Saccharomyces cerevisiae S288C: one gene and its partners. The protein of the gene in region 4 interacts with the protein of the main gene of each other region in a biochemical or structural test. Each region holds a gene or a part of one and is shown on either strand. Other genes may lie near its edges. The genes, in order: MATALPHA1, MCM7, HMLALPHA1 and MCM1.

The links.
Region 1: the proteins of MCM1 (region 4) and MATALPHA1 form a complex in vitro, tested with the Saccharomyces cerevisiae proteins (one study listed by BioGRID).
Region 2: the proteins of MCM1 (region 4) and MCM7 form a complex in vitro, tested with the Saccharomyces cerevisiae proteins (one study listed by BioGRID).
Region 3: the proteins of MCM1 (region 4) and HMLALPHA1 form a complex in vitro, tested with the Saccharomyces cerevisiae proteins (one study listed by BioGRID).

The regions. Positions count from the first base shown.
Region 1 is NC_001135.5:195,985-201,469, forward strand, and holds MATALPHA1 (transcriptional co-activator mating type protein alpha), read left to right. Parts: upstream 1-4,457; coding exon 4,458-4,985; downstream 4,986-5,485. Other genes in the region: PHO87 (SPX domain-containing inorganic phosphate transporter), read right to left, coding at 1-1,201; Ras family guanine nucleotide exchange factor BUD5, read right to left, coding at 1,637-3,565; MATALPHA2 (homeodomain mating type protein alpha2), read right to left, coding at 3,562-4,194; YCR041W (uncharacterized protein), read left to right, coding at 4,927-5,259; transcription initiation factor TFIID subunit TAF2, read right to left, coding at 5,190-5,485. UniProt on the Saccharomyces cerevisiae protein: Mating type proteins are sequence specific DNA-binding proteins that act as master switches in yeast differentiation by controlling gene expression in a cell type-specific fashion.
Region 2 is NC_001134.8:624,078-631,711, forward strand, and holds MCM7 (DNA replication licensing factor MCM7), read left to right. Parts: upstream 1-1,694; coding exon 1,695-4,232; downstream 4,233-7,634. Other genes in the region: DER1 (derlin), read left to right, coding at 1-134; MIN7 (Min7p), read right to left, coding at 416-619; COS111 (Cos111p), read left to right, coding at 5,091-7,634. UniProt on the Saccharomyces cerevisiae protein: Acts as a component of the MCM2-7 complex (MCM complex) which is the putative replicative helicase essential for 'once per cell cycle' DNA replication initiation and elongation in eukaryotic cells.
Region 3 is NC_001135.5:8,795-14,309, forward strand, and holds HMLALPHA1 (transcriptional co-activator mating type protein alpha), read left to right. Parts: upstream 1-4,487; coding exon 4,488-5,015; downstream 5,016-5,515. Other genes in the region: VBA3 (basic amino acid transporter), read left to right, coding at 912-2,288; YCL068C (uncharacterized protein), read right to left, coding at 2,709-3,491; HMLALPHA2 (homeodomain mating type protein alpha2), read right to left, coding at 3,592-4,224. UniProt on the Saccharomyces cerevisiae protein: Mating type proteins are sequence specific DNA-binding proteins that act as master switches in yeast differentiation by controlling gene expression in a cell type-specific fashion. Silenced copy of ALPHA1 at HML.
Region 4 is NC_001145.3:352,299-358,133, forward strand, and holds MCM1 (transcription factor MCM1), read left to right. Parts: upstream 1-1,572; coding exon 1,573-2,433; downstream 2,434-5,835. Other genes in the region: ARG80 (Arg80p), read left to right, coding at 305-838; IOC4 (Ioc4p), read left to right, coding at 3,086-4,513. UniProt on the Saccharomyces cerevisiae protein: Transcription factor required for the efficient replication of minichromosomes and the transcriptional regulation of early cell cycle genes. Activates transcription of ECB-dependent genes during the G1/M phase.

The DNA of each region.
Region 1 (5,485 bases), on a different chromosome or scaffold from region 4:
ACATGTCTTTCCATGTGTTGCTTCTTTCCCAAACAATGTGGTCGTGCAGGTACGACTTTAACTCTTGCTTGCATGAATCTACGTTCCCAGGCTGACCCATGAGAACAGCATAAAATTCAATAAGTTGTGCAATTTTACTGTTTAAACTGCTTAAAGTTTCATGCTGGAAGATGTAGGTGTCTTTGAAAAATTCTTCACTTTCTATTAATTCTTGCCTAGTGTTCATGTGCAATACTTTATCAGACTTCTTAGTAATTTTACTGAAACCCATTCTGTTCAATTCGATAAAAGATTTCAACTGGCAAAGGTCTATGTAAAGATTTATTATTGTCTGTTTTAATAATGACTTTTTCTGAGATTTAATGTTAAATTGCGAATAATTCAAGAGGGCGGTATTGTCGGTAGTGTCAGCAAACACGTCAACGTCATCATCTTCATCCATTTCTTCTTCGCTGTAATCAAACCTATTTCTCAATTCACTGTCGATGTTTGAAGAGTGTATTTCAAATGGGTTATTAGATGAATGTGTCTCTGATGTACCAGAAATAATTTCTCTTAAAGGAGGCAATGCTTGAATTTCAGGATTGAAAGTTTCATTCAATCTTGTTACAATGCCTTCCTTCTCCAAATCATTAATCAAGTGGTCAAATCTTTCATAGAACTTAGCTTCCATTCTTTTGTAGAAATCATCTACTTTCAATTTCTCGTCGCTCAGGTTAGTTACGAATGTATCATAAGAACTGAAGAGCGTCTTTCCCTCGCTACTCACAGATGAGCTGCGTGATTCAAAGAATTTCTTACGTATAAAATTCTTATTGAAAGAGGTGGTTTTCCCTTGAGGAGATAACTCGTCTAACTCAATTGTTTCCTCGTTAATATTGTTCCCATCTATGGCCTTTTCGTCGGAGTCTCCCCTTTTGCTTCCTGAAGGTGTTTTAGAACCAAAGAGCTTACGCTTGAGTTTATGTGTAAATCTTCTTTTCGATGAAGATGGTTCTCCTGCAGCTATGTTGCTTTCTATATCAGCGATTGGACCTGGAGTCTGAGAGTCAGCGTCATCGTTTAAGTCACCGGTTGGCGTTTCTTGTTTCAATTCATCTGTCTGTAATGTGTAGATCAAATTTTTCAATTCGTTATAATCTAGGTAATGATTCTGCCATTCAGGGACAGCGTTGTATTTGAGAAAGTGTGAGAATCTCATTTCGAGGCACAATAATAGCCGCCTTTACCGTAGTTTTGCTGCACCTTTATCTGAGAGCTGACTGCTTTTTTGGTGTGAAACACTGTTTTCTGGTAATAATTTTTCAATGCATCGGATTACTTTTCCCACGTGCGAAATCATCAATTAATTAGATTGAAAAAAGGGTAAGGGAAAATAAGAAAGAGGCGGTAGCCTAAAGATACGGTAATTGAAACGTTTCCTATGCACAATCTTAAACCTTTTTAGGTAATTGATTAAGTTGACTGTAATATCTGTAAAAGATTACATCTAATTTACGTCTGGTTTCTTATCAAAAAATATTATCTACTGTAGTTATGCAAGTATTCTTAATTTTCAGTACTAAACATGAATATTAATTATTTGTGAGCGTACAAGAAGCAAAAGGAAGTCATCTTTCTTTGAACAGTTCTGTTTTTAGGTAAGCCTTGGAACCTTAGCTATACTGACTTGATACGCCCTGTCTTTGTTGTCGTTATATAAAGTGTGCACCTTTATCATAGCCCCTAATAAGCTTCTTGCAGTAGTATTTGAACAGTGTATATCTTCATATTGCTTTTGTTGTAAATATTGCGCAAAAGCGACTATCTTTGTGATTTGGTTGAACTTTTGCATATTCACGTTATTACCATCTTTAGTGAATGTATCGTTTCCGTCTCTTATGAAGGTAATGTCCCTGATAAGCAGTGATGTAAAAGGTACACAAGGAAGCTGACTGTGGAAAATATGTTTAATTGTTCTTCTATAAACGTTGTAGTTGTTGTTTGGATGTACGACGACTTTTAGGCGCTGAAAAAGGTGGTCTGATTTAACATCTATCGGGAGAGATAGTCTTTCTATTGAATGATTTTGCAATGATGTAATGATTGAAGCAAGTGAGTTTAAGTTTCGTAAGTATAGACAAGACAGTGCAACTTGTAACCAGTAGGAAATGGTGTGCGTTTGCTGCAAAGTTGTCTCAAGAACGTAGGACGATAACTGGTTGGAAAGCGTAAACACGGAGTCAATTGTTGTATCGTTGTGTTTGAAATGTCTTGTGAATTCTATTGTTTCAATATCCAAGTAAAGAGAAGATTCTAAGAGAGTCAATGTCTTTGCAAGTGACCATGGAGATACGTTTAGAGCGAAGGCTTCGACTTCTAGAAGTTCACCCTGTTTCCATTGGAAAAGTAAATCACTGAGGTCAGTTGCACCGCACAATTCATCATTTGCGTTCGTTTTGTCTATCTCGTATTGGAGAAATAAGTTTTCGTAGTCCAGGGGCGGTTTATTTTCTTCGATTTCCTTATCAGTTAGACCAATGTAATGAATCTTCAATTGCCTCGTTCTTTTTTTGTTTATAAACAGCTGAACTATGTCTGCAAACAGTTCTTGGTATTCATAATATTCAGCCAAGTGACTGTACCAAAAATTGAGGATATCTTTTAATGTTGTCTCACTATCTTGCCAATAAGACTCTACCCAGATTTGTATTAGACGAGGGACGGAGTGATTTTTGTGTTTGTTTTTATTAATTGTGGGATAGGATAGTAGCAACTCTTGGAGGAGAGCATTGTCAGTTGTCCAGTCTCTGAAGTTAAGTAGTAAGTTTGCGGAGTCAAAGGGGGATGGCTTTTGCCATTTGTGAGAGTTGTGCGGCAGCATCTTATTCAAATAGAGCTGTATTCTGAAGACCTCTTGTAGAACATCATCCATACTAAAAAGTAAATCGTCCTGTCCCATTACGAGCTGTATTAGTGCTGTGACCCTCTGTATATTTACGTTGCCATGAAGAAGGTAATGGGCGATATTTTGATACAATTCCTGAGTTGCATGTTGGATTGAGTTTACGAAGGGTCGCCAGACGGCCAGAAACCTCCAGGCGGAGTTAACAACTAGTAATACGGCATCCATGTTTGCATCAGCGCCGAGCCTATACCAGTCACTGAGTAGACGTTTTCTTGCTCTTTTTATGTCCTGACTTCTTTTGACGAGGGGGCATTCTCTAGAGACACAGGCAGTTGCTTCCAGCAACTGCCGTACGGCCGTTCTCATGCTGTCGAGGATTTTTTTTGGGACGATATTGTCATTATAGGGCAGTGTGTGACTTATGAATTGTTGTAGAAGGACGTCTGTGATGTTGGAGATATGTATTTTGTTAACTCTTCTTGAGACGATTTGGCCCTGGATAGCGAAGCGTGCGGTTACAAATAGGTCGTCTTGTTCAAGAAGGTAGGCGAGGACATTATCTATCAGTACAAACATCTTAGTAGTGTCTGAGGAGAGGGTTGATTGTTTATGTATTTTTGCGAAATATATATATATATATTCTACACAGATATATACATATTTGTTTTTCGGGCTCATTCTTTCTTCTTTGCCAGAGGCTCACCGCTCAAGAGGTCCGCTAATTCTGGAGCGATTGTTATTGTTTTTTCTTTTCTTCTTCTATTCGAAACCCAGTTTTTGATTTGAATGCGAGATAAACTGGTATTCTTCATTAGATTCTCTAGGCCCTTGGTATCTAGATATGGGTTCTCGATGTTCTTTGCAAACCAACTTTCTAGTATTCGGACATTTTCTTTTGTAAACCGGTGTCCTCTGTAAGGTTTAGTACTTTTGTTTATCATATCTTGAGTTACCACATTAAATACCAACCCATCCGCCGATTTATTTTTCTGTGTAAGTTGATAATTACTTCTATCGTTTTCTATGCTGCGCATTTCTTTGAGTAATACAGTAATGGTAGTAGTGAGTTGAGATGTTGTTTGCAACAACTTCTTCTCCTCATCACTAATCTTACGGTTTTTGTTGGCCCTAGATAAGAATCCTAATATATCCCTTAATTCAACTTCTTCTTCTGTTGTTACACTCTCTGGTAACTTAGGTAAATTACAGCAAATAGAAAAGAGCTTTTTATTTATGTCTAGTATGCTGGATTTAAACTCATCTGTGATTTGTGGATTTAAAAGGTCTTTAATGGGTATTTTATTCATTTTTTCTTGCTTATCTTCCTTTTTTTCTTGCCCACTTCTAAGCTGATTTCAATCTCTCCTTTATATATATTTTTAAGTTCCAACATTTTATGTTTCAAAACATTAATGATGTCTGGGTTTTGTTTGGGATGCAATTTATTGCTTCCCAATGTAGAAAAGTACATCATATGAAACAACTTAAACTCTTAACTACTTCTTTTAACCTTCACTTTTTATGAAATGTATCAACCATATATAATAACTTAATAGACGACATTCACAATATGTTTACTTCGAAGCCTGCTTTCAAAATTAAGAACAAAGCATCCAAATCATACAGAAACACAGCGGTTTCAAAAAAGCTGAAAGAAAAACGTCTAGCTGAGCATGTGAGGCCAAGCTGCTTCAATATTATTCGACCACTCAAGAAAGATATCCAGATTCCTGTTCCTTCCTCTCGATTTTTAAATAAAATCCAAATTCACAGGATAGCGTCTGGAAGTCAAAATACTCAGTTTCGACAGTTCAATAAGACATCTATAAAATCTTCAAAGAAATATTTAAACTCATTTATGGCTTTTAGAGCATATTACTCACAGTTTGGCTCCGGTGTAAAACAAAATGTCTTGTCTTCTCTGCTCGCTGAAGAATGGCACGCGGACAAAATGCAGCACGGAATATGGGACTACTTCGCGCAACAGTATAATTTTATAAACCCTGGTTTTGGTTTTGTAGAGTGGTTGACGAATAATTATGCTGAAGTACGTGGTGACGGATATTGGGAAGATGTGTTTGTACATTTGGCCTTATAGAGTGTGGTCGTGGCGGAGGTTGTTTATCTTTCGAGTACTGAATGTTGTCAGTATAGCTATCCTATTTGAAACTCCCCATCGTCTTGCTCTTGTTCCCAATGTTTGTTTATACACTCATATGGCTATACCCTTATCTACTTGCCTCTTTTGTTTATGTCTATGTATTTGTATAAAATATGATATTACTCAGACTCAAGCAAACAATCAATTCTTAGCATCATTCTTTGTTCTTATCTTAACCATAAACGATCTTGATGTGACTTTTGTAATTTGAACGAATTGGCTATACGGGACGGATGACAAATGCACCATTACTCTAGGTTGTTGTTGGATCTTAACAAACCGTAAAGGTAAACTGCCCATGCGGTTCACATGACTTTTGACTTTCCTTTGTTTGCTAGTTACCTTCGGCTTCACAATTTGTTTTTCCACTTTTCTAACAGGTTTATCACCTTTCAAACTTATCTTTATCTTATTCGCCTTCTTGGGTGCCTCCACAG
Region 2 (7,634 bases), on a different chromosome or scaffold from region 4:
GCTGGTTAGAAATTGCCATGAATTTCATGCCAGGTCACGTAATTTACTACATGGATGATATAATAGGGAAGATTTATGGCATCGATTTGTGTAAATCTCCGTACGACTGGTTCCGCAACACTGAAACACCCTAAAGGAAAGGCCGTTTTTATTTACCAAAAACCAATAACAAAAGTGAACGCTTGATAAACAAACATACTTAGCATAAATAACTACATATAAAATAGGCCAAGGATAAATGAAACGTTGACTAGAATGAATGAAAGATGTGAAAACAGTACAGTTAAAACTGCAATCCCACAAACTAAAAATAATATGAAGAACCTGTCTCAAATGTATAAATGCAGAATAAATAAGTAGCCGAAAAAGTCTCGGTAATTTTCTCCCTAATGATAACCCATATTTTCGAAAGACTCTAAAACCTGGTGTATGATCGTTGAGAACAAAATTCGTCCTTGTAGTAGTGTGTGTCTTTAGAAGCCATTCGGGCCGGTAGAAGGAAAGGTGTTGTTAGTCCCAGAGTGATGTAAGCAACATAAAACAACGTCGTCAGCTTTTTACTGGGAGCACTTGCCTTGTATGATTTAGAAACTTGTGAAAATGATTTCATGGCCAGCATTGTTAGTCCTCGATCTTTTGTGATATTTCCTATATATTACAAAAAAATTCTTGGTTTTCGCCTTGTCACAGGGAATAAATGTGGAATATAAAAGAGAGGAGAGGAGAGGAAAGAAGAAAAAAAACTTGGTGTCCGTTTGCAGATGGCCTATTATATACCCTGCTTATATAACTCTGAGAATTAGGAATATTTTGCTGTTGCTATGGTAATTAACATATTTCCAACAATAATGACCTTCTCGAGCTATTGTCTTCCTTGCAGTGGCGAAGAAACCACCGGAGAGTTGCAACGAACTGCCTTTCTTAGGAAGTGCGCGGGCTCTCTATTATGATAGGCCGATACGGTACAAAAGCTTAAAGTTGCCTTTGTATTACCTTTTTTAATCGCAGCAAACAATGCGAAGCACAGGTGTTCACTTTCCTTAGCTTCCCCTTTTCCGTGCTTTTGTTTATACTTCGTACAAAAATGAGGGGAAGGTACCAGGCAGGATACCTCACTGATTACGACGACAAGGAAAAGAGTAAAAATAATTTACTGTAAAACTTCCAAATTTGTCTGAGAGCAACAGAATAGAAGCACAAAGAAATGTACCCTACGAGAGACAGAGAGGGTAAAAGAGTAAGTAAATTCTAAAGTGGTGTGAATGTCATAACTTAAACTATTACCCACGGGATACCTGCTAGGTCAACGTAGCCGCTACTCGAATATAATAAGCGCTTCTTGTATATTTTCTCAATAACAGGTCGAGGCCCCTTCTACCCTTGAATGCTACTTATTACTCACTCATAATACATTGTATAAGCCTTCGCGTTTTTCACGGCCTCGAAAAAATTTTTCTTAACTAATTTACCCAGAAAGGAAATTTCCTTATAAGGAAAATAAATGCAATTCATTAAGTCGGTTTGCTTCTTTTTTCACGAAAGTGAGATACAAGCAAAGGACCAGAGCGAGATGTACTACAGTAGCAGGCTACATACACGTCTTTACCAATAACTTACATTTAGAAAGGCAATATAATCACTACCTAGATTAGCTTGAATCTTGCAGGAAGAACTCAATACAGATAGACCAGATTATGAGTGCGGCACTTCCATCAATTCAGCTTCCTGTCGACTATAATAATCTTTTTAATGAAATCACCGATTTTTTGGTGACTTTCAAGCAGGATACGTTGTCTTCTGATGCAACACGAAATGAGAACGAAGATGAAAATTTGGATGCTGAGAATATCGAACAACATCTATTGGAAAAGGGGCCCAAGTACATGGCGATGCTACAGAAAGTGGCTAATAGGGAACTGAATTCCGTGATTATTGATTTAGATGACATTCTACAGTATCAAAACGAAAAGTTTCTCCAGGGCACACAGGCAGACGACCTTGTGTCTGCCATTCAACAAAACGCTAATCACTTCACTGAATTATTTTGCCGTGCCATTGACAACAACATGCCGCTACCAACAAAAGAAATTGACTACAAGGACGACGTTCTTGATGTTATTTTAAACCAAAGGAGACTGAGGAATGAGAGAATGCTCTCGGACAGGACCAATGAGATCCGAAGCGAAAACCTCATGGATACCACGATGGATCCACCCTCTTCCATGAATGATGCGTTAAGAGAAGTTGTCGAGGATGAAACTGAGTTATTTCCTCCTAATTTAACTAGACGCTATTTCCTTTATTTTAAGCCTCTATCGCAAAATTGTGCTCGTCGTTACAGGAAGAAAGCAATTAGTTCTAAACCATTATCTGTTAGGCAGATTAAAGGTGACTTCCTAGGCCAATTGATTACCGTCAGAGGTATTATCACCAGAGTTTCTGATGTCAAACCAGCTGTGGAAGTTATCGCATATACCTGCGATCAATGTGGGTACGAAGTTTTCCAAGAGGTCAACTCTCGTACTTTTACTCCGTTGTCAGAATGTACTTCCGAAGAATGTTCCCAAAATCAAACAAAGGGTCAATTGTTTATGAGTACACGAGCTTCCAAATTTAGTGCCTTTCAGGAATGTAAAATTCAGGAGTTATCACAACAAGTGCCAGTGGGTCATATTCCTAGGTCGCTAAATATCCACGTTAACGGGACGCTGGTAAGATCTTTATCGCCTGGTGATATCGTCGATGTAACTGGTATATTCTTGCCAGCGCCCTACACCGGTTTCAAAGCTTTGAAAGCTGGCTTACTGACAGAAACTTATTTAGAGGCACAGTTTGTCCGTCAACACAAGAAGAAATTTGCGTCTTTCAGTCTGACTTCTGATGTAGAAGAGAGAGTTATGGAATTAATCACCTCTGGTGATGTTTATAATAGGCTGGCAAAATCTATTGCACCGGAAATCTACGGTAACTTGGACGTAAAGAAAGCGTTGCTGCTATTACTTGTCGGAGGTGTTGATAAAAGGGTAGGTGACGGTATGAAAATCAGAGGTGATATCAATGTTTGTCTGATGGGTGATCCCGGTGTTGCCAAATCTCAACTGCTGAAGGCCATTTGCAAAATATCACCTCGAGGAGTGTATACCACTGGTAAGGGTTCCTCAGGCGTTGGTCTGACCGCTGCCGTCATGAAAGATCCTGTCACGGATGAAATGATTCTAGAAGGTGGTGCCTTAGTACTCGCTGATAACGGTATTTGTTGTATCGATGAATTTGATAAGATGGATGAAAGTGACAGAACGGCAATCCATGAAGTTATGGAACAACAAACAATTTCGATATCCAAGGCGGGTATCAATACAACTTTGAACGCCAGAACCTCAATCTTAGCGGCAGCAAATCCGTTGTATGGTAGATATAATCCTAGATTATCACCTCTGGACAATATAAATCTACCAGCTGCTTTACTATCCAGATTTGATATTCTCTTCTTAATGTTAGATATACCAAGTAGAGATGACGACGAAAAATTAGCCGAGCACGTTACATATGTGCATATGCATAATAAACAACCGGATTTGGACTTCACTCCAGTAGAACCCTCTAAAATGAGAGAGTACATTGCCTATGCTAAGACAAAGAGGCCAGTGATGAGTGAAGCTGTAAACGATTATGTGGTGCAAGCTTACATCAGATTAAGACAAGACTCCAAGAGAGAAATGGATTCCAAATTTTCCTTTGGTCAAGCCACTCCGAGAACTTTACTAGGTATTATAAGATTATCTCAAGCGCTAGCAAAGTTAAGGTTGGCTGATATGGTGGATATAGATGATGTGGAGGAAGCCTTGAGGTTGGTCCGAGTCTCCAAGGAATCATTGTATCAAGAAACCAACAAATCTAAAGAAGATGAAAGCCCCACAACGAAAATCTTTACGATCATCAAGAAAATGTTACAAGAAACTGGTAAAAACACGCTATCATATGAAAATATTGTGAAAACTGTAAGACTAAGAGGGTTTACCATGCTACAATTAAGCAACTGTATCCAAGAATATTCTTACTTAAACGTCTGGCATTTAATTAATGAGGGTAACACTTTGAAATTCGTGGATGACGGTACCATGGACACAGACCAGGAAGACTCACTAGTGAGCACGCCTAAACTCGCACCACAAACGACCGCTTCCGCTAATGTGAGCGCCCAAGATTCTGATATCGATCTACAAGACGCTTGAAAGTTCTAAAAAAAAAAGCAACAGGGCCTTCATTCTTTATTCTTTTTCCCCCTTTTTTTCATTTCCATATAGCTGCACATTCAAATTTACCTTCTGTAACTTACTTCCAAGGCCCAGTTTTCAAGATATGTATTCTGTATTATTATAATTTTACTAATATTATTCATCGCTTTTGCCAGCCACAGACCCCACACATTTCGGACTTAACATTATGACTGCGCATGTCCGTGCACCGCGGCCCAATTCTTGTTTTTTTTTTTTTGCGGAGAAAGGAAAATTATCTTCAAGCGGAATAGGGCCAGCTAGTATTGCTCAGATGTGCCTGTGGAGAGCCGTGCTACAGGGTACCGTCAGCCCCTGAGTATACCAGAGAGTACACCGTGCGGAGTTCTTCCAGAAAATGAAAAGATTGTTCTCAGAATAATTCGTAGCGCTTGATAATAATCCGAATTTGAGATACCTGCCGGCACCCATTCTGTTATCGCCAAGAGGACTTTTAGGGGACCCGCAGACAGTAAAATTTTTTTCATTCATTAACATGTGAAGGCAACATTCATCGATCTCCATCCCTACTGTCAAAAATATAAGTATATATATATATATATTTATATAGTCTATATATATATAGTCCCACTCTCAAACTAATATAACCTTTACAAACCTGTCCGCTCAGTACGGTAGTCCTATTTTATTCCGTTTACTAGATTATATTTGAAGATATTTTTTTATTCTTGAAAATCCCGGACGATAGTATTTTTAGCTGAAGAATATTTGCGGGGAGGAACTATATAGACACTCGAAGCAAGAGGGGAAAAGGAGAAAGAAAAAAAGGTACACTAAACAAGGTCGAGTGTATTGATGTCAAGTGCTTCAAGACTTCAAAACGTCAATATTGTTTCTAACAACTATTCTCGTTACGGAACTTCCGTTTACGATAAGTTGTATCATAGTAACGGCAGTGGTAGCAATAATGCTGGTAAGAATTCTACCACAGTTGGTAAACTGTCATCTATCTCACAAAAGTCCAGGAGCAAACAGCGTCATGGCTCAAATTGCTCCAGATCAATGAGTCAATCACCCTTATCGACGTTCAAATCTCCACTCAGCAATCAAAATCAATCCAGCGCTCCTGATGATTTGGCTTCCATAGGTCAGAGACGCAGTGACGACGTCACATCTTTAGATAATGAAACTATCATAACGATGAATTCAAGGAAATCAAGGATTAAAAAAAAGTATAAATCCTTAATCTCCACCTCTTCAAAAAAATTTATGAATAAATTGTACGATCATGGTGCTTCATCCGACTCATTTTCTATATTTTCTCTGAAGACTTCCCATTCTGGTAAACATGAAAATTCCAGATTTGAAAAGCTGAGGAAGAGAAAATACCATGCTTGGGGCAAATTTGCCGATATCAACGATTTACCAGTTGAAATAATTGCCAAAATACTTTCTGAATTCGAGTTAGGTCGTGATCAAAAGACACTCGTAAGATGTCTATACGTATCGAAGAAGTTTTATAAGGCGACAAAGATCGTCCTTTATAGGCTACCTTACTTCACTTCCACTTACAGAGTGGCGCAGTTTGTCACCTCACTAAGATTACATCCGGATAACGGGGCATACGTGAAAGTATTGGACCTATCACACTTGAAGCCGGGAATTATAGGCCAAGACTCGAAGGATTCTCAAGGCCTAGACGATGATGGCCACTCAAGGCGTCACAGACGCCGTCGCCGCAGATCTACTAACACAAGTTTGAATCTACCTCCAGCTACTCCAACATCTACCATTTCTAACGAGGATGATGCCAATAGCGGATTAATCAAAGACGACGCTTCAAATGGCAGTGAAGTTGAAGACTTGGCATTAGCTGGTTGGAGAGACTGGAGATACAGAAATGAACCCCTTTATAGCTCTCCTCTGTTGAACAGCTTTAAACTGAAAAAAGTGGTTTCTCGTTCTTCTTCTATCACTTCTACATCTTCTGGAAATTCCACCGGTGTTCACTCTACAAGGAGACAACGTTCCAATAGTTCCGTTGCTTCCATAACGACGAGTATCATGTCATCCATCTATAACACCTCCCATGTCTCATTGTCTTCAACCACGTCTAATACCAGCAATGGTAACATCTCTTCTGGTAGTAATCTGTCAAGAGTTTCCACTGCTGGATCATTGAAAAAAGCTTCTGCGAAGTCCACAAGGTCATCTCCTCAGAAAGCAAAACCTATATCTGACATTACGTCATCTTCCTGGTTTAGAATGAGGTTAAGTTCAAGAAATAGAAAGGCAAGGACAGCTAATACGATTAATTTAAAGAACTCGAAGGATAAGTCTGACGATGACTTTAAAGTTTTAAAGCACGATTCGGGGCATCCATCCAATTATCGTTCTTCGACATTAAAATTTAGCATTGAACAACCATTTAGTACGCATCATCCGTATGCCAACAAATTTCTTTTAAAGTACGCTCCTTATAAAGATCTGCCCCTAGGTTATATTTTACATATGCTGAACCTGTGTCCTAACCTTGTTGAACTAAACCTTTCCAATTTAGTTATTTGTACCGATTTCAAATTAATCAACCAAAGATCCGAAAGAAGAAGGATGACATCTTCACTGTTGCCCGCTGTCCAGGAGTCTAGTGTTTCTGCAGGCCCTGAGAAAGATTTAGAAATTGTCTATATGACCGATTCTGGCAAAGGTTATGAATATTATGAGGGGTTAAGCAAGAAACACTCACGTTCTTCAAGCCTAGGTACCAATCCATCTAGTTGGATTGGAGGTCAGGCGAATTGGACAGATTACCCACCTCCAATCGATGCACAAACGAAAACAAGAGAGGAACACAGACGCAACAATACCTTGAACAATAAGAACGTCGTATTAAAGAAGCTAAACCCTTTTGAAATTTTTGAAATGATCTGCAATAGAAATGAAGAAAAAGGTGGCTACTGCTCCTTAACTAAGGTGAAAATGAATGACATTGTGTGGTGCAGGCAATATATGGTAAAGTATTTTGTAATGAGGACGTTTCGCCAGCATTTGGATTATAAATCCATGGAAAACAACTCTTATGAAAGACACTTATTCAGTTTCCGGGACTCTGGCTTGGATAGAAATTTTTCCTGGGCTTGTAATGCCAAATTGCATGAATTTGTCGCATTGATGGTTATGGATCATCTTTCAAATTTAGATGATTTAGGATTAGAAGAGCTTTTTAATATCAAGTCCGAAAAGCTATATATAAAAAACTATTGTTGCCGAGACCCGGATATTCTCGAAATATCAAACTTATTTGATATTAGATATGGGGCCGGATCTGAGGCTGATGCTACTTCTGATTCCAATCTCGAAGCAGAATCTTTACAATTCAGGTTGACAATATTAAAAACA
Region 3 (5,515 bases), on a different chromosome or scaffold from region 4:
TTGAAACAAGGAAAAAAATGCGGTGCCTGTCGACAGGATATGCGCACAAGTGCAAAATCATCAAAAAATTGAGTACCTAGATCCGGTGGTGTAGGACGAGCAAAGTTCCTTCATAAACAAACCGTAAGGGTTACTGATACACAATTTCCTTTTTGTAAAGAGTATTTGAGCAAATTAGTCAGCGATTGAAAACAACACCCTTTTTTCTATATATAGTAGGTGAAAGTTAACATGCGAGTAAAAGTAGTGCCACATTTCCTTTGCAGCAGGTGCAAATTGGTACATATTTAACAGATAGCGCCGCACCTCATATGCAGCGCGTACATGATACGAGACGACAAGATATGCAAAAGATAATAGTGTCATCACACCTTTATGAGAAGCGAATTTTTTTTTTTTTTTGGTTTAAATATATATATATACATATATATAGATATAGATATACACATGTATAGATGTATTCTAGTTATGCTTATACCTAGAACTGATCAGACCAGATCATACCTGGTATAGAGCTTAATCGATAGAAATTCAAAAATATGGAGGAAACTAAGTACTCTTCGCAGCAGGAGATAGAAGAAGCATGTGGTTCAGACGCTTCATTGAATGCTAGAGGTAGCAATGATTCTCCAATGGGACTTTCCTTGTACCTCTGCCTGGCTTCGTGAACTCTTGTACTATTCATAACTGCACTGGATATTTTGATAGTGGGAACTATTATTGACGTGGTCGCAGAACAGTTCGGAAACTACTCCAAAACAGGTTGGCTCGTTACAGGCTACAGTTTACCAAATGCTATTCTGAGTCTCATTTGGGGAAGATTCGCATCTATCATAGGTTTCCAGCATAGTCTCATTTTAGCAATACTTATTTTTGAAGCCGGATCCCTAATTGCTGCCCTTGCCTCTTCAATGAATATGCTCATTGTCGGTAGAGTTGTTGCTAGTGTTGGGGGAAGCGGACTTCAAACGCTTTGCTTTGTTATTGGTTGTACGATGGTTGGTGAAAGGTCACGTCCATTGGTGATTTCCATCCTAAGTTGTGCATTTGCTGTAGCTGCTATCGTTGGTCCTATAATCGGAGGTGCCTTTACAACCCATGTTACCTGGAGGTGGTGCTTCTATATCAATCTTCCTATCGGTGGTCTTGCCATTATTATGTTTTTACTCACATATAAGGCCGAGAATAAGGGTATACTTCAACAAATTAAAGATGCTATAGGAACAATCTCGAGCTTTACTTTTAGTAAGTTCAGACACCAAGTTAATTTTAAAAGACTTATGAATGGCATAATCTTCAAGTTTGACTTCTTTGGTTTTGCCCTCTGCTCTGCAGGGCTGGTCCTTTTCCTACTGGGGCTAACCTTTGGTGGTAATAAATATAGTTGGAACTCTGGCCAAGTCATCGCATATTTGGTTTTGGGTGTCTTACTTTTTATTTTTTCATTGGTGTACGATTTCTTCTTATTCGATAAATTCAACCCGGAACCTGATAATATATCCTACAGGCCTCTCCTTCTAAGAAGATTGGTAGCAAAACCAGCCATAATAATAATAAACATGGTAACATTTCTATTATGTACCGGTTACAATGGGCAAATGATATACTCTGTCCAGTTTTTCCAACTTATATTTGCGTCGAGTGCATGGAAAGCCGGTCTTCACTTGATACCAATCGTTATTACCAACGTTATTGCGGCCATTGCAAGTGGTGTGATTACCAAAAAGCTCGGTTTAGTTAAACCACTCTTAATATTTGGAGGCGTTCTTGGGGTAATTGGAGCAGGGCTTATGACACTTATGACAAATACGTCCACGAAGTCAACTCAAATTGGTGTTTTGCTATTACCGGGGTTTTCCCTTGGATTTGCTCTACAAGCATCGCTCATGAGTGCACAGCTTCAAATTACCAAAGATCGTCCAGAAGCTGCTATGGACTTTATTGAAGTAACAGCTTTCAATACATTCATGAAGTCATTAGGTACAACTCTTGGTGGTGTGCTTTCAACCACTGTTTTTTCCGCCTCCTTTCACAACAAAGTATCACGAGCTCATCTAGAGCCTTACGAAGGAAAAACGGTTGATGACATGATTTTGTATCGTCTTCAAAACTACGACGGTTCTCATTCGACTATTGGAAACATTTTAAGCGACTCCATTAAGAACGTATTTTGGATGGATCTAGGGTTTTATGCCTTAGGATTTTTGTTTTGTAGTTTTTCATCCAATAAGAAATTAATCATACCAAAAAAGGACGAGACACCAGAAGATAATTTAGAAGACAAGTAGCGCAGTTATTTTCTTATTTTCATTTTATTTTTTTCGCCTTTTATACAGACTTCAACACAATCAGAATCAAATAGGTGTATCGCAATGGAATGTAATTTCTTAAGTATTCTATATGTACTTAAAACCTATTAATATATGGATCAACACAGTATCTTATGAATGGGTTTTTGATTTTTTTATGTTTTTTTAAAACATTAAAGTTTTCGGCACGGACTTATTTGGAATTCAAATTATTAATGAAAGAACAATTAACTAATTAATGTACTTAGTATTTGGCCATTATTATCGATTTCGGGGGCCAAATCTAACCAAATTCAACCTACATTTTTTCAAATTGATTCAAACACCTTTCACAATAAGATTTTTATATCTAGCGCACATAGAATGAAATGTAAACAAAGATTTCAGAAAAATCGTCATTCAAACTTGTATTAGACGAGGGACGGAGTGATTTTTGTGTTTGTTTTTATTAATTGTGGGATAGGATAGTAGCAACTCTTGGAGGAGAGCATTGTCAGTTGTCCAGTCTCTGAAGTTAAGTAGTAAGTTTGCGGAGTCAAAGGGGGATGGCTTTTGCCATTTGTGAGAGTTGTGCGGCAGCATCTTATTCAAATAGAGCTGTATTCTGAAGACCTCTTGTAGAACATCATCCATACTAAAAAGTAAATCGTCCTGTCCCATTACGAGCTGTAGTAGTGCTGTGACCCTCTGTATATTTACGTTGCCATGAAGAAGGTAATGGGCGATATTTTGATACAATTCCTGAGTTGCATGTTGGATTGAGTTTACGAAGGGTCGCCAGACGGCCAGAAACCTCCAGGCGGAGTTAACAACTAGTAATACGGCATCCATGTTTGCATCAGCGCCGAGCCTATACCAGTCACTGAGTAGACGTTTTCTTGCTCTTTTTATGTCCTGACTTCTTTTGACGAGGGGGCATTCTCTAGAGACACAGGCAGTTGCTTCCAGCAACTGCCGTACGGCCGTTCTCATGCTGTCGAGGATTTTTTTTGGGACGATATTGTCATTATAGGGCAGTGTGTGACTTATGAATTGTTGTAGAAGGACGTCTGTGATGTTGGAGATATGTATTTTGTTAACTCTTCTTGAGACAATTTGGCCCTGGATAGCGAAGCGTGCGGTTACAAATAGGTCGTCTTGTTCAAGAAGGTAGGCGAGGACATTATCTATCAGTACAAACATCTTAGTAGTGTCTGAGGAGAGGGTTGATTGTTTATGTATTTTTGCGAAATATATATATATATATATTCTACACAGATATATACATATTTGTTTTTCGGGCTCATTCTTTCTTCTTTGCCAGAGGCTCACCGCTCAAGAGGTCCGCTAATTCTGGAGCGATTGTTATTGTTTTTTCTTTTCTTCTTCTATTCGAAACCCAGTTTTTGATTTGAATGCGAGATAAACTGGTATTCTTCATTAGATTCTCTAGGCCCTTGGTATCTAGATATGGGTTCTCGATGTTCTTTGCAAACCAACTTTCTAGTATTCGGACATTTTCTTTTGTAAACCGGTGTCCTCTGTAAGGTTTAGTACTTTTGTTTATCATATCTTGAGTTACCACATTAAATACCAACCCATCCGCCGATTTATTTTTCTGTGTAAGTTGATAATTACTTCTATCGTTTTCTATGCTGCGCATTTCTTTGAGTAATACAGTAATGGTAGTAGTGAGTTGAGATGTTGTTTGCAACAACTTCTTCTCCTCATCACTAATCTTACGGTTTTTGTTGGCCCTAGATAAGAATCCTAATATATCCCTTAATTCAACTTCTTCTTCTGTTGTTACACTCTCTGGTAACTTAGGTAAATTACAGCAAATAGAAAAGAGCTTTTTATTTATGTCTAGTATGCTGGATTTAAACTCATCTGTGATTTGTGGATTTAAAAGGTCTTTAATGGGTATTTTATTCATTTTTTCTTGCTTATCTTCCTTTTTTTCTTGCCCACTTCTAAGCTGATTTCAATCTCTCCTTTATATATATTTTTAAGTTCCAACATTTTATGTTTCAAAACATTAATGATGTCTGGGTTTTGTTTGGGATGCAATTTATTGCTTCCCAATGTAGAAAAGTACATCATATGAAACAACTTAAACTCTTAACTACTTCTTTTAACCTTCACTTTTTATGAAATGTATCAACCATATATAATAACTTAATAGACGACATTCACAATATGTTTACTTCGAAGCCTGCTTTCAAAATTAAGAACAAAGCATCCAAATCATACAGAAACACAGCGGTTTCAAAAAAGCTGAAAGAAAAACGTCTAGCTGAGCATGTGAGGCCAAGCTGCTTCAATATTATTCGACCACTCAAGAAAGATATCCAGATTCCTGTTCCTTCCTCTCGATTTTTAAATAAAATCCAAATTCACAGGATAGCGTCTGGAAGTCAAAATACTCAGTTTCGACAGTTCAATAAGACATCTATAAAATCTTCAAAGAAATATTTAAACTCATTTATGGCTTTTAGAGCATATTACTCACAGTTTGGCTCCGGTGTAAAACAAAATGTCTTGTCTTCTCTGCTCGCTGAAGAATGGCACGCGGACAAAATGCAGCACGGAATATGGGACTACTTCGCGCAACAGTATAATTTTATAAACCCTGGTTTTGGTTTTGTAGAGTGGTTGACGAATAATTATGCTGAAGTACGTGGTGACGGATATTGGGAAGATGTGTTTGTACATTTGGCCTTATAGAGTGTGGTCGTGGCGGAGGTTGTTTATCTTTCGAGTACTGAATGTTGTCAGTATAGCTATCCTATTTGAAACTCCCCATCGTCTTGCTCTTGTTCCCAATGTTTGTTTATACACTCATATGGCTATACCCTTATCTACTTGCCTCTTTTGTTTATGTCTATGTATTTGTATAAAATATGATATTACTCAGACTCAAGCAAACAATCAAAGAAATCTTTCACTGCTCTTTTCTGTGTTCCATTTAGTTTTTAGTACGATTGCATTGTCTATATACTGTATTTACCAAATCTTAATTTTAGTCAAACATTAATGTTTACTTTCGTATTTAAGGATGTGTATACTAAGCCTTGGGAAAATGCGTGTTCCTTGTGCCATCCGAAAGCTACTTCATAAAAAAGATACTGTTCATTTTCAAGCCCGCATAGTTGGATCAAATATTAACTATATATCAACATGGTCCAAAGATCGTAAGTTTGGTCTAATGTTGTTTTAGCAAAAAA
Region 4 (5,835 bases):
GAGAGCGCCAGACTGAAGAAATACTTCGGTCAAGTTATCTGGAGGTCCTGTGTTCGATCCACAGAATTCGCATTAATTTTTTTTTACTTTTCATTCGTTTTCCTCTTTTGGTGATGAGCAGCATCACAGAAGCGGGTGGGTCATCCATTATTAGACGGTAAGTGAAAAAAATTTGATGATTCAGGTGAACCGCTATGGAAAGGCACGTAGTTCTACTTACTCCTAGCAAGTAGCTATGCGATTTTCCTGCGCCATTTTTTTTCCCACATTAGTTACATACACTCTCTAAAGAATATTGCTAAATATGACGTCGAATAGCGACGGTTCAAGTACCAGTCCAGTTGAGAAACCAATTACCGGCGATGTTGAAACTAATGAACCTACCAAACCAATACGGCGGCTTTCAACGCCATCGCCAGAACAAGATCAAGAAGGCGATTTCGACGAAGAAGACGATGATGACAAATTCAGCGTGAGCACATCAACTCCCACCCCAACCATAACGAAAACTAAGGACAGCAGCGACACAAGTACGGTTACGAGGCGGAAGCAGCCGATCAGGTACATCGAGAATAAGACCCGGAGACATGTCACCTTCTCGAAGAGGCGGCACGGGATCATGAAAAAAGCATATGAGCTCTCCGTCCTAACCGGCGCCAATATTCTGCTTCTAATTCTGGCAAACTCTGGCCTGGTCTACACTTTCACAACGCCTAAGCTCGAGCCGGTGGTACGGGAAGACGAGGGTAAGAGCCTCATCAGGGCATGCATCAATGCTTCAGACACTCCTGACGCTACCGACACGTCGCCGGCACAGGAACAATCTCCGGCAAACTGAACATGCGAGAGTAAGAGATGCCCCACGAAGGCATAGGCAGATCCATATAGCACAATACGCGCATATAAAGTAGCATTGCTGCCAAAGGGGGTTGCACAAGGAGTTGCCCTCCTTCGGCACGCGGCTCGGAACATACCGGAGTGTCCCCCTTTGAGTAATTTTTCTCAAAAGAGGCACTTTTGCGCTGGGCCGCAGGAAATTTCCCTTTCTGTTCAGCACCTGTTGTCCTATATTAAGCTGTGCCAAACAAGGTCATCTCCAAATACTTACCAAAAAGCTAGGGCGTACTGTACTGGAATCTCTGCTTTTTTCTTTACCTTACTTCAATTTGCCTTGTCTGCTTTTTTACGTGTGTTTTGGCGTTTCTGCTTTTCTTTTTTATTACTCGTTGTTGTAAATCATTTTCTAAGTATTATACATACTATATCATCGCATACCCAATCGGTTTCCTATTCTCACCACTTTTTTCTGGAAAAATACATAGCCTAACAAGCAATTTTATTTTACGTTTGTTAATTCATTATACTGATAATATTTTTGAATTTTTTTTTTTTTTGATACATTTTTTTTAATCGCTGTTTTGTCTGTTTTTTTCGATTCAGTTATAGGGAAAAAAACGGGAAAGGAAAGAGAAAAAAAAATTAGTGCAGAGCAATAAGAAGCGAAAATCAAAAAAAAGTTTTGGATCTGCAAGACTTGCTGTCACGCAACAATATTATAGCCACCCAGCAAAAATGTCAGACATCGAAGAAGGTACGCCTACTAATAATGGGCAACAGAAGGAGAGAAGAAAGATAGAAATTAAGTTCATCGAGAATAAAACAAGGCGCCATGTGACATTTTCCAAAAGGAAGCACGGTATCATGAAAAAGGCGTTTGAGCTTTCTGTTCTAACGGGGACCCAGGTCCTGTTGCTAGTCGTTTCAGAAACAGGTTTGGTATATACTTTCAGCACGCCGAAGTTTGAACCTATAGTCACGCAGCAGGAAGGTAGAAACCTGATCCAGGCCTGTCTTAACGCCCCTGATGATGAGGAAGAAGACGAGGAGGAAGACGGTGATGATGATGATGATGATGACGATGATGGTAATGATATGCAACGCCAGCAACCACAACAACAGCAACCGCAACAACAGCAACAAGTATTGAATGCACACGCAAATAGCTTAGGCCATCTAAATCAAGATCAGGTACCGGCAGGCGCGCTGAAACAAGAGGTGAAGTCACAATTGCTAGGCGGTGCCAATCCTAATCAAAACTCAATGATTCAACAGCAGCAACATCACACGCAGAATTCACAACCACAACAGCAACAGCAACAACAACCACAGCAGCAAATGTCACAGCAACAAATGTCACAGCATCCTCGACCACAGCAAGGAATACCACATCCGCAACAATCGCAGCCACAGCAACAGCAACAACAACAACAACAACTGCAACAGCAGCAACAGCAGCAACAACAACAACCCCTCACCGGCATTCATCAGCCTCACCAACAGGCTTTTGCCAACGCTGCCTCCCCCTATCTGAATGCTGAACAGAATGCTGCCTACCAACAATACTTTCAAGAACCGCAACAAGGCCAATACTAATCTTATCGATTTCCGTATATAATTCATAGACGAGCATTAAGAGGAAAAAGCTGTTTCCGTACCAATTAAAGAAAGATAGACAACAAGAACAAAAACGTACATTACTCTATATTGAAAAAAGCCCTATGTCGGTAAAAGAATAGGAAGTACCTTAGTCATCGGCACTTACCTTTTTTTTTACGATTACTTCTGGTTTGTTTCTTTGCCTCATTTCATTTTGCTGCCACTTTCTTTCATAGGCAAGAAGATTCAATCAAATCTCCCCTTCTCCTTCCCCGGATATATAAAATATAAATATAAAACTTTAAGAATATAAAAATATGAGAAACCACACATAACTTGTATACTTTACTCACATACACACATTTCCAAAAAAATTATAATGTTAATTACATTGCTTTTAATGCTAATCTTTTTTTAGTTGTATAATCATTACCATATAAATGCCTCTCGGTCTAATTTCATTGCCAGTATTGTAAGTTATATACTTTTATACGAGTGTACGGAAAATATCGTGGCTCCCCGTTAACAGTGAAATAAATCTACGCATGTAGCTGCCAGTTTTTTAAGCGTTATATCAATATTGGTAAAGTAAGAATTGACGAAGAAATTGTTAACTACATTTTTCAGAACGGCGTGTCATTCTCCGATAATGTCTGAAGCGATATTCCAGCCAACGGACATTGTCCTTGCCAAAGTTAAAGGCTTTTCAGCATGGCCAGCAATGATTATCCCTAATGAACTCATCCCAGATAACATCCTCAAGACCAAACCTGTGAGTGTCCACAAAGGCAAATCAGGTAGTGATAAAAAAGCAAATGAAGATATAGATGCAGACATGGAATCAGAGGCTAGAGATCGAGAGCAAAGCGAAGAAGAAGAAGATATAGAGGATTTTGGTGAGAGTGAGGCTAATCCTGAAAAATTTATAATATACACTCCCGTTCTGAAGTTTCGTAAAAATGATACGTTGAAATCGACTTACTGCGTCAAGTTTTTTTGCGATGATTCTTATATCTGGGTGAAGCCCATGGATATGAAGATTCTAACAAGCGAAGATTGTCGTAAGTGGCTAAGCGGCAAACAGCGGAAGAATAAGAAACTCATACCGGCATATGAAATGGCTATGAGAGGCAAAAATGGAATTGATATTTGGGAATTTGTGGAATATGGGTCTTACGGCAAGCCAGATGAAGAGGAATATGTAGAGGAAGAGGAAGAAGAGAACGAACCTGAAAAAAAGGCTATAAGGCCAACCAGGTCTTCCAGTAGACAGCGTCAGAAGCGCGCCTCAGAAACGGAAAAGAGTGAGGGCGGTAATAGCAATAAAAGGAAAAGAGTTACTAGATCGACTAGGCAACAAGCGATAGATGCTTCAGAAGAGGAAGAGGAGGAAGAGGAGGAAAAAGTACAAGAGGCTGTTAGAAAGAGGCCGCAAAGGACCAAAACTAAGAAAGTTGTAGTATCCAAGACTAAACCAAATCCAAAAACAAAGGCAAAGAAAGAGAAACCTAAACCACCTAAGCCAATCAAATATCATTTTGAAGATGATGAAGATTGGAGCATTGTTGGGTTGGGCCCACAAGATCTATCAATCGAAAAAACGATGGATCCGATTGCGAAAAAACTGTCGCAGAAGAAAAATCTAGAAAAGCATGTGGAGATTAAGCTAGATCTGGAGGATAAACTAGCAGGTATCAACAAGCTCCTGTGTGATGTCTTATGTTCAGCCATTAACCAGGCTGTTTCGATAAAGGATGATTTCGAAATAATATTAGATGAATTGCAGATTGCCCTTGACACCAGGGGGTCCAGAAACGAATTTATAACAATTTTCCAATCAAATAATTCCCTACTGTTAAACTTTAGGATATTATTTAACTTAAGAAAAAGGGAACTGAACAAATGGGATCTGTGGGATCGTTTCCAGGATATTTTCAAGCATATTTATTCCTACCAGTTCATACCTGATACGGAAGATTGGCAACTAGAGCAAAATATGGAAATTGAAGAAATGGATCGGGAAAAGCCGAGCTTTAGTGAAGACGTAAAGGAAGAAGAAAGCAAAGTAGGAGCATGACCTGTTGCTATTGCAGTTGATGTACTCTGCTTTTGAACAATAGAGGGGAAACCTGTGTACTATAAAATAGACTAAAACTATGTAACTTGTGTATGTTCTGATATGTATGACGCAGTCTTTGATAGTCCAAAACTCACCTAGACTGTGCTGTATTATTACAATTAAAGTTCTAAGTCTGTTGTGCATTATCATTTGAGAAATGGGGGAATGTTGAGATAATTGTTGGGATTCCATTGTTGATAAAGGCTATAATATTAGGTATACAGAATATACTAGAAGTTCTCCTCAAGGATATAGGAATCCTCAAAATGGAATCTATATTTCTACATACTAATATTACGATTATTCCTCATTCCGTTTTATATGTTTCATTATCCTATTACATTATCAATCCTTGCACTTCAGCTTCCTCTAACTTCGATGACAGCTTCTCATAACTTATGTCATCATCTTAACACCGTATATGATAATATATTGATAATATAACTATTAGTTGATAGACGATAGTGGATTTTTATTCCAACATACCACCCATAATGTAATAGATCTAATGAATCCATTTGTTTGTTAATAGTTTGAATGTTTTTATCGGAAGAGGTTTGGTCATTACGTCTGCAATATTCTTTTTGGTTTCGATATAGCATACGTGCAGATGATTTCCTGATACTTCATCTCTCAGTCTCATTGCTTTAGTACCAAAAAATCTGTTTCTAAATTTCTCTTCATTATTGGATATAATTATACTGATTGTAGATTTACTGTCGGTTAGTAATCCTTTGGTAATTGGTTTCTTGTCGAGTTCTTGTATCAGGTAACTTAGATTATTTAATAATGGGACAGATTCACTTATTGCGTGTATTTCTGCTTCCGTAGTTGAAGTACATGTTAATGAAGCCTTGGTGGACTTTCCTCCAATTACTTTTCCATTAAGTAAATATATGTTGCCAATTTGTGATTTATAATACGGTTGGTTACCATACGATGCATCGCTTATAACAACTAATTTATTTGTTGGCTTAACAGGTTTGCTTTTGTGCCATATTAATTGCTTATCTCTCGTATTCCATATGAACTGTATCAATTCATATGTCATATCTAACACTTGCTTGGACGGAAATAGTATATGTTGTGCAAGTGTGTTGATGTAGTATAATAGGTCAAATCTAAATTTATATCCAACATATGATGCTAGACCTATCAGCTTTTGCATTTCATGTACCTTCATTTTGTAATCATCTTCTTCTAGCTCTAGTTCTTGCTGGTCTATATATAGACCTGGTTGACCTGGAGCGCTAAGTTTCCTTCCTTTTGGGTTCAAAGGT